Linked DNA regions of Oryctolagus cuniculus. The protein of the gene in region 1 interacts with the protein of each later gene in a pairwise test. Links are inferred from orthologs where the notes say so. Each region holds a gene or a part of one and is shown on either strand. Other genes may lie near its edges. The genes, in order: CEBPG, CEBPE and ATF4.

Region 1 (4,095 bases):
ACCACCACCACCACCACCACCACCATCACCACCACCACCACCACCATCATCATCACCACCACCACCACCACCATCATCATCATCATCGGTTAGGAACTTCTCAGAAACGCGCCTTCTCAGGTGTCCTGATCTATGGCTCAGGCGTTCGGGAACGGGGCTGCACCACCATTTTTCCAGGGACTGCCAAATGACTTTGGTGATGCTGACACTGAGCCCCTGGTGTCATTACTGATGGATCTTTAAGGTTGGCTTTTTAATGCGAATCTCTTGAGTATTGTTCTTTCAAATCAGTAACACACGGAAAATCAACAATGTTAGAATGAGTAAAATGAAATTTTTCTCAAGTTTCACTTGGGAAAATAAACCTGTCAAGAATTTTCCTGGATGGACGACCTTTCTGTCTCTCCTTCTCGCTGTCTATACCTCTCAAATAAATAATAAGATCTTTAAAAAAAAAGAATTTTCCCAAAAACCCTCTGTCCCACACCCCCCCCCTACAGTTAGAATGATGTTTCTCCGCTGGCTCCTTAAAACAAACTTTTCACTCCATTTCCCAGTGAAGGCCAACGCTTCAAAGTATTCCTGAATGCTTCTCCCTTCTCCAACTCAGCTCAAATCACTAAACCTGACAATTCTACCTAAAAACAAACAAACAAACACAGTAACAACAAGAATCTCCTACCCTCATTCTCCTCCATCCCAGTGCCACCTAAATTACGTCAGCCTGACATCATCTCTCAGGCTTAGCTCCCCCAACTGCGGTGGCGAGAGCAACCTAGCAATCAAACCTGAGTGTGTCACACCCTCCTCCTCCAGTCCGCAGGTCCGACCCCAGGTCCCGAGCCCCTCTCCAGCCCTGGCTCCCTTCCACGGCACGTCTCGGCAGCACTAGACCACCACTGGCTCCTGAACACTGCCCACCTTCTCTTATCGCAGCGCTTCTGTCCAGTTTGCTCCCCCGCTTCTTGTCAATCCCAGCTCCACAGGGTGCACCACTGCAGACAAAGCTAAAGGCAGGCCCAGCACCGGCTGCAGGGGCCCTGAGGGAGGGACAGCCCCCTCTTCAGGGAGTACACCAGAAGGAGAACTCGTGTTTGTTTTGTCTTTTTAAACGTCACCTTTCCCATCCACGTTTGGTCTGATTTACAACACACAAAACAAACTGTTTGTAAATACACATCTACTACAGTGTGTGTTCAGTTTTTGCTTCTTCTTTTACTGACAGAGCTAGAAAGCCAAAAAGGCAGGAGACCACTGTCACCTCTCCGTGTTTGGACCACCCTCCCGGAACACTGCCAGACGACAAGCCTGGAGTTGTGGCTACCTGTGCTTCCCACTGGTTCTGTGACAGGGTCAGGCAATCCGGGACCACCAGACCAAACCCAAGCGCCGGGAGTGCGAGCTGCGGCTCCCAGAGGCTTCCCAGGTGCCGCCTAAGGCCCCCGGGAGGAGACCACCGCCCCCCTCCCCCATCACAGAGCTGACAGTCTGGATGGGCTCCTGAGATTCAGAGATGGGCTCTTGAAGACATGAAGTCCTGTTTCCCCCTATTTGTTTAAGACAGGTAGTAAAAATAATTGAACCAGCCACGCATGCCCACCGGAAACGGGGAATCAAAAAACTGGAATATCCCCTAGTATCCTGGAATTATTCAGCCTTGGTTTTCAGGTTTTCCAGAAACAACCCGAGGAACAGCCTACCCCAAACACCACTGACCGGATCCTAAACCATCAAGAACTTTCAGACACCGAAAGCAAGTCCTTACAGGATCGGGTTTCAAACTTTTCTTTGGGAGTCACCTTTCTCGGGAGAGGCAGCTCTGCTCCGAATGATGACCCACTCGAAGAACGCCGCTGAGAGCGAGCGGCTCCCAGGTGCGGAGCTGTTACACCCCTTCCAAAACCGACGCCGGGCAAGACACGGCCTCCTCGGAAGGGCAGAGCCCCCGGCCCCTCGCACCCTCCCCGGACGACACGCACCTCGGCGGGCTGCTGGCCCGGGGCTCCCTGCGGCCGCGCTAACCTTGCCCTGCTCCTCCAAGCCTCATCCAACCGGCAAGTGCAGGCCGACATGCCCGTGCACCGGCAAACCACCTTTCCGTGCAGTTACGCATTTAAAAGCCAGCTGTCTTCCCTACTTCCCCACTCCAGGAACTTCTCCAACACTTGTCCACCGCCACCCCGGCCCGAGCCGATTACAGGGCAGCAAACATCCTATGCGGAACGCAGGCAGGACACGGTCCGCCTTCCGCCGCTGCGGGAACACCCCGCATCCCCAGGGGCCAATGCGCGCCGGGCTGGTCTCACACACACACACTCAGCGCGGTTCACAAACAGGGCCCGGTCCGGGAGGGGGCACACCGCGTCCCCCATCCCTCTCCGGCCGCGCCGGGAGCGCGGGGGTCGGCGGGCGGCGCCGCGGCGCTGGGCCGCCGCCAGGGATGAGCTCAGCGCCCCCGCCGGGTGTTGCCGGCAGGTTGCATCAGACGCCGCACGGGGCCGCCGCCCGCGCCTGGAGCCGCGCTGGGCCTTCCCGGCCGCCCGCCCGCCTCGGGTCTCCTCGGGCCGGGCCCTGCGCAGACGCGAGCCGCCGGCGCCGCCGCGGCCTCCACCTCCGCCTCTCGGCGCGCCCGCCCGACCTCCAGTCCGCGGCCTCCTTACCTGCGCCTCCAGCCCGCCCGCCCCCAGGCGGCCTCCACTACGAGCGGCCCCGCGCGGCCCGACCCGACCCGACCCAGGCCTAGCTGCCCGCGAGTCAACGAGGAGGAGCGACGGTTACGAAACCGGCTGCCTCCGCCCGTTCCGCCGCCGCGGCCACCGGCTTCCCCTCCTCGCCGGCACCGCGCGCGTGGCCGCCGCCGCCACGACCAATGGGAACGCCGGCCCGGCGGTGACGCACCCTCCTCTCGTGACGGACAGCGGCATCAGCCAGTCACGAGCCGGGTGGCTCCGGGAGGCGGGCCGCGGCGGAGGCGTTGGCCACGGCGCGGCGCGGCGCGGCGCGGCCGGCGGGCGTGGCGGGTGTGGTGGGAGCCGGCAGTGGCTCGTTGCGCCGCCTGCGGCTCCTCAGCCGCCCGCGGGAGGCGGCGGCGGCGGCAGGTCCCTCGCCGTGGGATACGTGTAGAGAGAAAAGTCGTGTCCCAGCCGGAGGCTAGAGGCAGCCTCGCCTTGTGAAGGCCACACCTGCTTTTGGGAAACAACATTCCTGGGGTGGTTTTTTTGAATCACGCCCCAGAGTTTCCTGGAGCGCCCCCAGGGACCCGCCGCCTCGCCCACCGGCCTGAGCCCGCCGGGGGGATGCAGCCTTAGCAGGGGTGGAAGAGGGGAAGGAAGAGCCCAGAACCCTCAGCGGTCCTCAAGGCGATTGCAAACTTTTGTGTTTTGAAGACGAATGAAGCAGAGCTTGCCAGCATAGGATTAGTATTGTTGTCACATTCGTGGGAACTGCAGGCGGGGGTTCTTGGTGACGGTGAAATACACTGGAAATACACTGGATTTCCGAAATCCTTGCCTTGTGGAGTCTCCCAGGAGAGAGGTGATCGCTGGGAAAAGGATGGCTCCGAAGCCTGACTCCTGTAAGAGCCTGCACAGGAGGGCCCGAGAGCAGCGCCCTGGGTGCTTCCTCTTAGCAATTCTGAGCGTTCCAAGAGGCCCAGGTGCTGGGGCCGGCTTCGGCATAGACTGTTCTTAGGAATCAGCGAGAGATGCCAAGCCACTTGCAAAGAAGAAAAGGAAGGGGCTGCAGCTGAGAGTGAGGTGTAGAGGCTGGGCGGGCAGCAAGGCACCCTGTGTACCACACCAGTGTGCTTCTCTGGCGCTCGGTGCTCGCAGCCGAGATCGGTCTGATCCATTGTGATTTGAGCACCATTAAAAATGGGTTATGTTTTGTTGCTCATAAAAATCATAATTTTACCCTAAACATTTCCTTATCCTTTAAAAATTGTAGGAAAAGAAAAAAAAAAACACAGTGTATGTAGGTATATGAAGTTCTGCCCTGGCTTGCTAACCGCCTTGCCAGGCTGTTGCAGCTTTCTCTGTCTGAGCAGGCCCTCCACACCCAGCAGGTCTAGTCCACGCCCAGAGACTTGGGTGTTTG
Region 2 (3,636 bases), on another chromosome or scaffold:
TCTGGGGTTGTCTGAGGCTGTGGAGCTGGAGAACGCGGGGAGGAGGTGAATGTGGCAGTCCCCTCGGGCTTTTCCCCTTGTTGTCTGGGGCTGGAGCTCACAGACCTATCCCTTTGAGACAGGTCTGCCAACAGGCCTGGGCGCGGGATTGTGAGGTCTGGGACCTTTCGATTAGCCACGGATCTCTGGGAGGAAAGGGCCCAGAGACTACTCCAGGTCCCGTGTGTGTGTGTGTATGTGTGCAGTCGGGGGTGCCTTCAGCTTCTGGAAAGATAGAGTAGGGAGGAAGAGGAAGGTGTGCGTTGGGGAGGTAGAGTGGCGTTGCCCTGGGCCGTGGGCAACAGGTCAGCATTCCCACAAACTCATCCCAGCATGGAAGCCACAAGGACCCAGCCACACTCATTCCCTGCTTTTTAGGCTTCTCGTGCCACACGTGCAAAACACACACAAACGCCTCCCCCCACGTGCACACCCACACAGAACAGGCCCAGGCTCTGGGCACAGCACGGCTTTATTCAGCAGTCTCATTATCACCGTGCGGGGTCCTGCCCTGCCTTCCCTCCCCTCTGCCGTCTGTCCATGGTCAATGTCCCAGACTCGGGCTCTGGGGCCCTGCCTGGTGCCCACAGTCAGCTGCAGCCTCCGACGCCCTTGATGAGGTTGGCGGCCTCGGGGATTTGGCGGAAGAGGTTGCGCAGGGTGTCCAGCTCCTGCGTGAGCTGCTCCACGCGGCTGCGCAGCCGCTCATTCTCCGCCATGTACTCCAGTACTTTCTGCTGTGTCTCCAGGATGCGCCGCTTGGCCTTGTCCCTGCTCTTGCGCACGGCGATGTTGTTGCGCTCCCGCCGCAGCCGGTACTCCAAGCTGTCCTTGTTCACTGCCTTCTTGCCCTTGTGCGAGGGGCCAGCCGGGGAGGGCGCCTTGAGGAGGGGACTGCAGGGGGGCACGGTGGTGGCCAAGGGGGCCTGCAGGGGAAGGCACAGAGGGTTGGAGGGGTGAGCCCAGGGGGTAGAGTGGAGGTGGGGCAGGGGATCACCCACCCCACCACCCCCTACTGTGGCCAGGGAGCCCTTGGGGCATGGACAGAATAGAGAATTTAGAGCCAGGCCAAAGCAGCCATCACTCTGTGGCCCCGGGACACAAGTGCTCTGTCGGTGACCCAAACCCCTGGCACTCTGTCTCCCATTCTGTGATCAGAGGCATTTCCTCTTCTAGAAGTAGGAATTGGAGAGCAAGAGGAGGGGGCATGGTGGGGGGGGGGGCATCAGCAGCCACTAGGATGGAAGGTCCGGGTGCAGAGAGCAGGGTCATGGCCCAGCGGCGAGCACTGAGGACTTGGGAGTGGGGCAGTTTCAGCGAACAGTACTAAACACAGACTCGAATGTCAGCCGGGACCCCGCCCCAGCCCAAGGGAAGCAGCTCTTACCTTGAGGACGCGCAGGGGCTGGCCTGGTGCTGCCAGGGTCGGGGGCAGGTGCACGGCCGTCTGCCCGCAGTGTGCCACCTGGTACTGCAGGGGATTGTAGCCGCCCCGGCTGCCACCTCGGCTGCCCTCTGGCCCCCGGGGCTCCTCCTTCACAGCCACAGCCCTGGGGTCGTAGCTCCCTGGGCTGCTGTAGATGCCAGGTCCCAGCGCCTTCCTGTCTGGGCCGAAGGTATGTGGGGGGTAGGCGAAGGGCCTTGGGTCGGGCGGCAGGTAGTGGGGGAAGGCAGGGCTTCCCGGTCCCTTAAGGCCCCGGGCCTCAGGTGCCGGCTTCATGGCAAAGAGATCGGAGAGCAGCTGCTCCTCCCCGGGCTCAATGTAGGCAGAGAGGTCGATGGAGGCCTCATGCTCACACATGTCCCCCAGCTCCCCGGGCCCTGCTCGGCCCCCCGGGAACTCAAGTGGCTGCTGGCCGCCCCGGGGCTCGCACTCGTAGTAGGTCCCGTGGGACATGGCCGGCCCGCCCCCTGGGCTCCCCGCCCCCGCCCTGCTGCCCGGGCACCCCTCAGGATGCTTGGCCTGCCTGCCCTCTGCTACCCCCTGCCCGAGATCTGCCCCAGAGCTGTCCTCTCTGGGCTCCCGCGTGGCCTCTCTTCTCCCTCCTCTGCTCTGCTTCCTTTTCCTTCCTCTGCAGTCGATGCCTCTCTTCTCTTCCCTTTTTCCCCCCCTCTCTCCCTGGGGTGACTCAGGGAGGGGCAGGGCACACCCCAGGGGGAAGGATGAAGGCTTCCGAGAAAGAGGGCCCCTGGCCCAGTTAGCAGTTGGGGGCACTCTTGGGCCAGGTGCAAGCCAGGGTTCTGGACAAGCCCGGAGCTGATGCTTCTGGGAATGGGGTCCCACCCCACCCCCGACGCTGCTGTGCCCAGGGGACTGCAGATCCTCACTGAGGGCAACACCTCACTCTGAATGTCCTCCTCCCTCTGACTTTCAGAAAGTTCTGTGCAAGCTGAAGTGCCAAGCCAGAGTGCACACAGCAAGCCCTCTTCCAGTGCTGACCCCCAGCCTGCTGTGGGCTCCACCCTGGACACGCCTTCTTCAGGGTCCCCCTCAAGCTGGGCTCCACCTACCCCCAGGGGCGGTCAGTTCCTTCTCTAGCCCCGCCCCTCCCAGAGCCCAAGGGTGTTGTTGGGGGGTTTAGGAAGTGCTGATGGGTTCTGGGAGCAAGCTGCACAGGGAGCCTGTGTCCTGGGCCCAAGAATGCTCAGTGGCTAGGATTCTGCACAGCGTCCGTGCGGTCACCCAAGTGCTGATGATGTGAGTTTTCAGCCTTGGCAATAGCCTGGCTCCATTTCCACCTGCCTGGGCTTGGCCAAGGTGCTTGGGCTGGCTATGGGTCTTGCACCCCAGGCCCAGGCTGGCTGCGGCCCCAGGAACCGGCAGTTGTCCCCATGGGTGGCTCCGGTGCCTCTCTTCCAGCTGCTGTGCGCTGCCAGAGGCTCAGGCTGGCACTTTGCGGCCCCCACGCCCCGCCCCCGCCCTGAAGCTCTGCCTCCGGTTTCCTGTGCCCTGGGCTGCCGGCCTCAGAAGCTCGCTGCAGCTCCTTTGCTGTTTTTCCTTGTGCGTGGCTGCTCTCTGACCTCCGTGCACGGCTCTCGGGTCTACTTCCTCTTGAGAGGCTTGAGGAGGCTTCTCCTTTGTCATCGCCTCAGCCTGGGGCTCCGTTTCAGGGTCTCCTGGAGAAGCCCGTGGCTGCTTCTCTATACCTCTTGATTGTTTTCAAACATTTTTGGAAATCTTTATTTTCAGGGGAGAGTGTTGTGCACAGCAGTTAAGCCACGGCTCGTGGGACTCACATCTCATGTCTCTCTCTTTCTGTCACTCTGCCTTTCAAGCAGATTAAAAAAAAAAATAAGCATTAAAAATTATTTTCAGGGGCCAGTGCTGTGGTGTAACAGGTTAAGCTGCTGCCTGCAGTGCTGACATCCCATATGGGAACCAGTTCGATTCCTGGCTGCCCCTGTTCCAATCCATCTCCCTGCAAATGTGCTTGGGAAAGGAATGGAGGATGGCCCAATGCTTGGGACCGTGCTACCTAACTTGGAAGACCTAGAAACTCCCAGCTCCTGGCTTTGGTCCAACCCAGCTCTGGGCATTGTGGCCATTTGAGAATCGAATCAGTGGATGGAAGATAGGTGTCTCTCTCTCTCTGTAAC
Region 3 (3,821 bases), on another chromosome or scaffold:
CAATGGGTCCCGGTCCCAGACTGTGGCTGTCCCTAACGGCTGGCCCAGAACAGCGGGGTCTGGCCCCCCAGCTCAGGGCCAGTGCTGGGGCATAGCAGGTGAAGCAGCCTGCAGTGCCAGAACCCCATGTGGGTGCCAGTTCGAATCCCAGCTGCTGCAGCTCTCTGCTGTGGTGAGTGCTTGGGCCCCTGCATCTGTCAGCTCCAGGCTTCTGCTGCAGCCCAGCCCTGGCTGCCGTGGCCATTGGGTGTGTGAGCCAGCAGATGGAGGACCGTCTCCAACTCTGCCTTCGAATAGACAGCTCTCCCATGATCTGTGTGTGTGCAGGCTGGAGCCAGTGACCACCCCCACACACACACACAGGAACACCGAACAAGGAAGTTGCAGCCACTCATGGAGTGAGTGCCCGCCCCAGACCAGATCCCACCATCCCGCGTGGGACTCTTGTTGCCCGCCCCACCACGCCCAGAGGGTGTGAGCCACAGGACAACTCCCAGGAATGCTTTCACTACAAAATAATTTATTAACAGCGGAGCCTCCTGTGCGTGCGCCCTAGGCGGGGACCCTCCTCCTGCCGCGGGCCGCCCGCACCTCCTCCAGCAGGTCCTTGAGGTACTGGATCTCCTTGGCCAGGCCGTCGGCCCTCTCCCGCAGGGCCGCGTTGCGCTCCTCCAGCCCCCGGCACTCGCCCGCCAGCGCCTCCTGCTCCGCCCGCTTCTTCTGCCGGTAGCGCGTGGCGGCCGTCTTGTTCTGCTCCATCTTCTTGAGCTTCTTCTCCAGCTTCTCGCCCTTCACGCGCGCCGCCGCGGCCGCCGCAGGCTCGTAGGGCTTGGGGCGGGCCGGGGCGGGGGGGCCCCTGTGCGGGGAGCCCCTGGGGGTGGGGGCGGAGGGGCTGCGCTGCGGGGAGCCCGGGCAGGACTCGGGGCTCATGCAGACGCCGCTGTCGTTGTCGGAGGGGCTGTCCTCCTCCTTGACGCCCTGCGGGACCACGGGGCCCAGGCCGGGCGACTCGGGCTTCCGGTCCCCGTCCGCGATGTCCACCTCGCTGCCCAGCTCCAAGCTGAACGACTCATCCGGGGAGGCGGCCGCGACCCCCAGCGACAGGGGCAGGGGCTGCAGGAAGGTGCAGGGGGCGACCTGCGGCAGGCTCGCGGGGAGGGGGCCGAGCGGGCTCCCTGCCTGGGGCGGCTCCTTGAGCGCGTCCAGGGCCAGGGGGGCGAAGAGGTCGCACGAGTCGTCCAGCGTGGCCAGCAGCTCGTCGGGCACGGCCTCCAGGTCGTCCAAGCTCAGCAGGGCGTCGAAGTCGAACTCCTTGAGGTCCACTTTCTCCAACATCCAGTCCGTCCCGGAGAAGGCGTCCTCTGCGGGGGCGCGAGCGAGGGCGCGTGAGGCCGGCGCCCCCCCCCCGACACGGGCGCCCCCTCCCACCCCCACCCCCCGCGGCGCTCACCCTTGCCGTCGGCGGGGGCGCCCAGCAGCCCGTCCGCCGCCAGCCATTCCGAGGAGCCCGCCGCAGCCTTGTCGCCGGGGGGCCCGGGAGGCTTCCAGGGCGTGGCCACCTCCAGGTAGTCGTCCAGGAGCCCCAGGCCCTCCTCAGCCCCCAAAGCCGCCTGGTCGAAGGGGGACGCCAAGTCCCCCGCCAACCCCGCGCTGTGCAGGAAGCTCATGTCGGCCGTGTCGCGGGGCTGCGCTGGAACCGGGGCAGGGGCTCAGCTCGAAGGTGTCTCTGTCCGTGACAGCAACGCTGCTGCTGGGTGCCGTGAGGAGCCTGCGGGCGAGCGGCAGGGGCGCCATCAGGGCGGGGGCCGGCCGGGCGGCAGGTGCACAGCGGCCATGGCCGCCCCCGCCGGGGCCGGCGCCCGGCCCGCCCGCCCGGCCCCGCCCCGTGACTCACCCCGCGCCGCCTCCCGCCGCCATCTTGGCCGCCGCCACGTTTCGCGGGGCGGCCACCGCGACCCCCGCCGGCGCAGAGCGGGGGCCGGGGCTCCGAGGACAGCGCGCCCCCACCTCCCCGGGGACGCGGGCGCCGGGCCGCGCTCTCCCGACCCCGCCCAAGGACACGCAAGCAGGAACCACGCGTCCCCGGCGCTCGTAAAACCGCTTCCGCCTCGGCGACGCGGCCCCGACCCCCGGCCGCAGGCCGCGCCCAAGCCCAGGCCCAGGCCCAGGGCCCGCAGACGCCGGGCCCCGGCCCCCTCGCCCGGCCCGGTACTCACGCCATGGCTTAAGCCGCTGGGGGTTGCCGCTGCAGAGCCTGGTGCTGCTGCCGCCGCTGCAAAGGCCAACGCTGCCGCAGGCACTGCTGCCTCTAATACGCCATGGTGGCCGCGGCCCTGCGGGACGGGAGGAGGAAGGGCACGGCTCGCAAGAGATCTACATCGACGGGCGGGCGCAGCGGTAATGGCGGCGGCGCGCGGCCCGCCGGGCTTTTATAGACTTGGTCGCCTCCGAGCCGCATCACAGGACGCATCCTTCCGCCGCGGCCATGTGACCCGCGCCTCCTGCCCACTCCCCGGCGTCCCCACCACTTTCCTCCCCCGAGCTTTTATGTCCGAGGCGTAGCCATGTACAGAAAAGTAGTTTACTTTCAAGATCTCACGTCGGGAAAAAGGCGCACTACTTTACAAGGCGTCCAAGATCAAAGAGTCTCGTCCTTTCCCCCTCGGATGCCCGGATGCGCGGAGGGATCTCTCTCAGGGGCGGGGCGTGAAGAGCCTTTCATTCCAAGGAGGCTTTTTATTGTGAAGGCCGAGGCCGCCCGGCTATCGCGCGAGACGCTGGCGGGGAGCGCGCGTCGAGATGATTGGCTCAGGCCTGAGGAGTCATATATACCTTGAGCTCCTATTGGCTCAGGGCCCGAGGGGGGCGGGCCACTCGGCGAAGGGGCCCGGGTCTGCGCGGGAAAGGGCGGGAGCGGCCTGGCGTGCAGCCGTGCCTTTGGTTGTAGCCTCGGCGGCCGCAGCGGTAGAAATCAGCGCCCAGCGGCCTCCGAGCGAGCCCGCCGCGAGCGGGCCCGGGCCTCGGGGCCGGGGAGCCTGCCGCCGTCCGGGGCCGGCTCTGCGTCCTCCCGCTGACCTCCGCGAGCCGCTGGCCAGCCTGCGTGTCCGCGGCGCCCTTTCTGCTGCAGGGCGTCGCTGCGGGGACGCCTCTGGCCTCTGCAGGCTCAGCCCCGCTGCGACCCCGGGTGGTTCCCACGAGCTCCGGACAAGGCCCGGTGGCCCTGCGGGGGACAGGAGTTCCCGGGGAGCCGGGCCCCGGCCCGCAGAGCTCCACTCCCGCGTCCCTTCCGCGAGCGCTGCTGGCTGGACAGACAACCTGCCCTGGGGCCAGGGCCACCCTTCCCAGGGTGCACGGGCAGCCCCGGCGCCCCCGTCTGTTGGCGGACACTGGCCGTGCTGGGGCCCGGCCCGCGCGCGGGACGCGCTCCCGCCACGCTAACTCGGGGTCCCCACTCCCGGCTACCCCTGTGGGGTCACTCTGCTTCCTCAGGGGGCTCCTCCCGGAACTGACCGGCGGCCGAGGCCTAGGGCGCGGCACTCTGCCCGGGGGTCAGGAGGAAGGCGGTGGGGGTGGGACTCCCGCGCCGCCACCGCGACCCCGCATCCATCCCGGGAGTCCCGCCCGCTCCCTGCTGATGCGCCCGGGAGAGCCGTGCTTGCGCCCCTGCGCCCACGTGGGCGACCCGGCGGAGTTCCAGCTCTTGGCCATCTGGGGAACGAACCAGATGGAAGAACTCCTAATTTTTGCCTTTCAAGTAAAGAAGCAAGTTTTTTAAACTTATTTGAGAGGTAAGAGTCACAGGGAGGCAGAGAGAGCTCCTC

Evidence for each region.
Region 2: the proteins of CEBPG (region 1) and CEBPE interact in a two-hybrid assay, tested with the Homo sapiens proteins (2 studies listed by BioGRID and IntAct, with this or other methods). The link is inferred for Oryctolagus cuniculus from reciprocal best matches to the Homo sapiens genes CEBPG and CEBPE.
Region 3: the proteins of CEBPG (region 1) and ATF4 interact in binary tests that used the Homo sapiens proteins (3 or more experiments, as listed by UniProt). The link is inferred for Oryctolagus cuniculus from reciprocal best matches to the Homo sapiens genes CEBPG and ATF4.

What each region holds. Positions count from the first base shown.
Region 1 is NC_091449.1:21,554,310-21,558,404, reverse strand, and holds the start of CEBPG (CCAAT/enhancer-binding protein gamma), read right to left. Parts: upstream 2,801-4,095; 5' UTR 2,661-2,800; intron 2,134-2,660; exon of another isoform or gene 2,023-2,133; intron 1-2,022. UniProt on the Homo sapiens protein: Transcription factor that binds to the promoter and the enhancer regions of target genes. Binds to the enhancer element PRE-I (positive regulatory element-I) of the IL-4 gene. Binds to the promoter and the enhancer of the immunoglobulin heavy chain.
Region 2 is NC_091443.1:51,898,577-51,902,212, reverse strand, and holds CEBPE (CCAAT/enhancer-binding protein epsilon), read right to left. Parts: upstream 2,439-3,636; 5' UTR 1,937-2,438; coding exon 1,427-1,936; intron 966-1,426; coding exon 630-965; 3' UTR 501-629; downstream 1-500. UniProt on the Homo sapiens protein: Transcriptional activator. C/EBP are DNA-binding proteins that recognize two different motifs: the CCAAT homology common to many promoters and the enhanced core homology common to many enhancers.
Region 3 is NC_091442.1:115,754,815-115,758,635, reverse strand, and holds ATF4 (cyclic AMP-dependent transcription factor ATF-4), read right to left. Parts: upstream 2,421-3,821; 5' UTR 2,217-2,420; intron 1,769-2,216; 5' UTR 1,668-1,768; coding exon 1,451-1,667; intron 1,362-1,450; coding exon 553-1,361; 3' UTR 501-552; downstream 1-500. UniProt on the Homo sapiens protein: Transcription factor that binds the cAMP response element (CRE) (consensus: 5'-GTGACGT[AC][AG]-3') and displays two biological functions, as regulator of metabolic and redox processes under normal cellular conditions, and as master transcription factor during integrated stress response (ISR).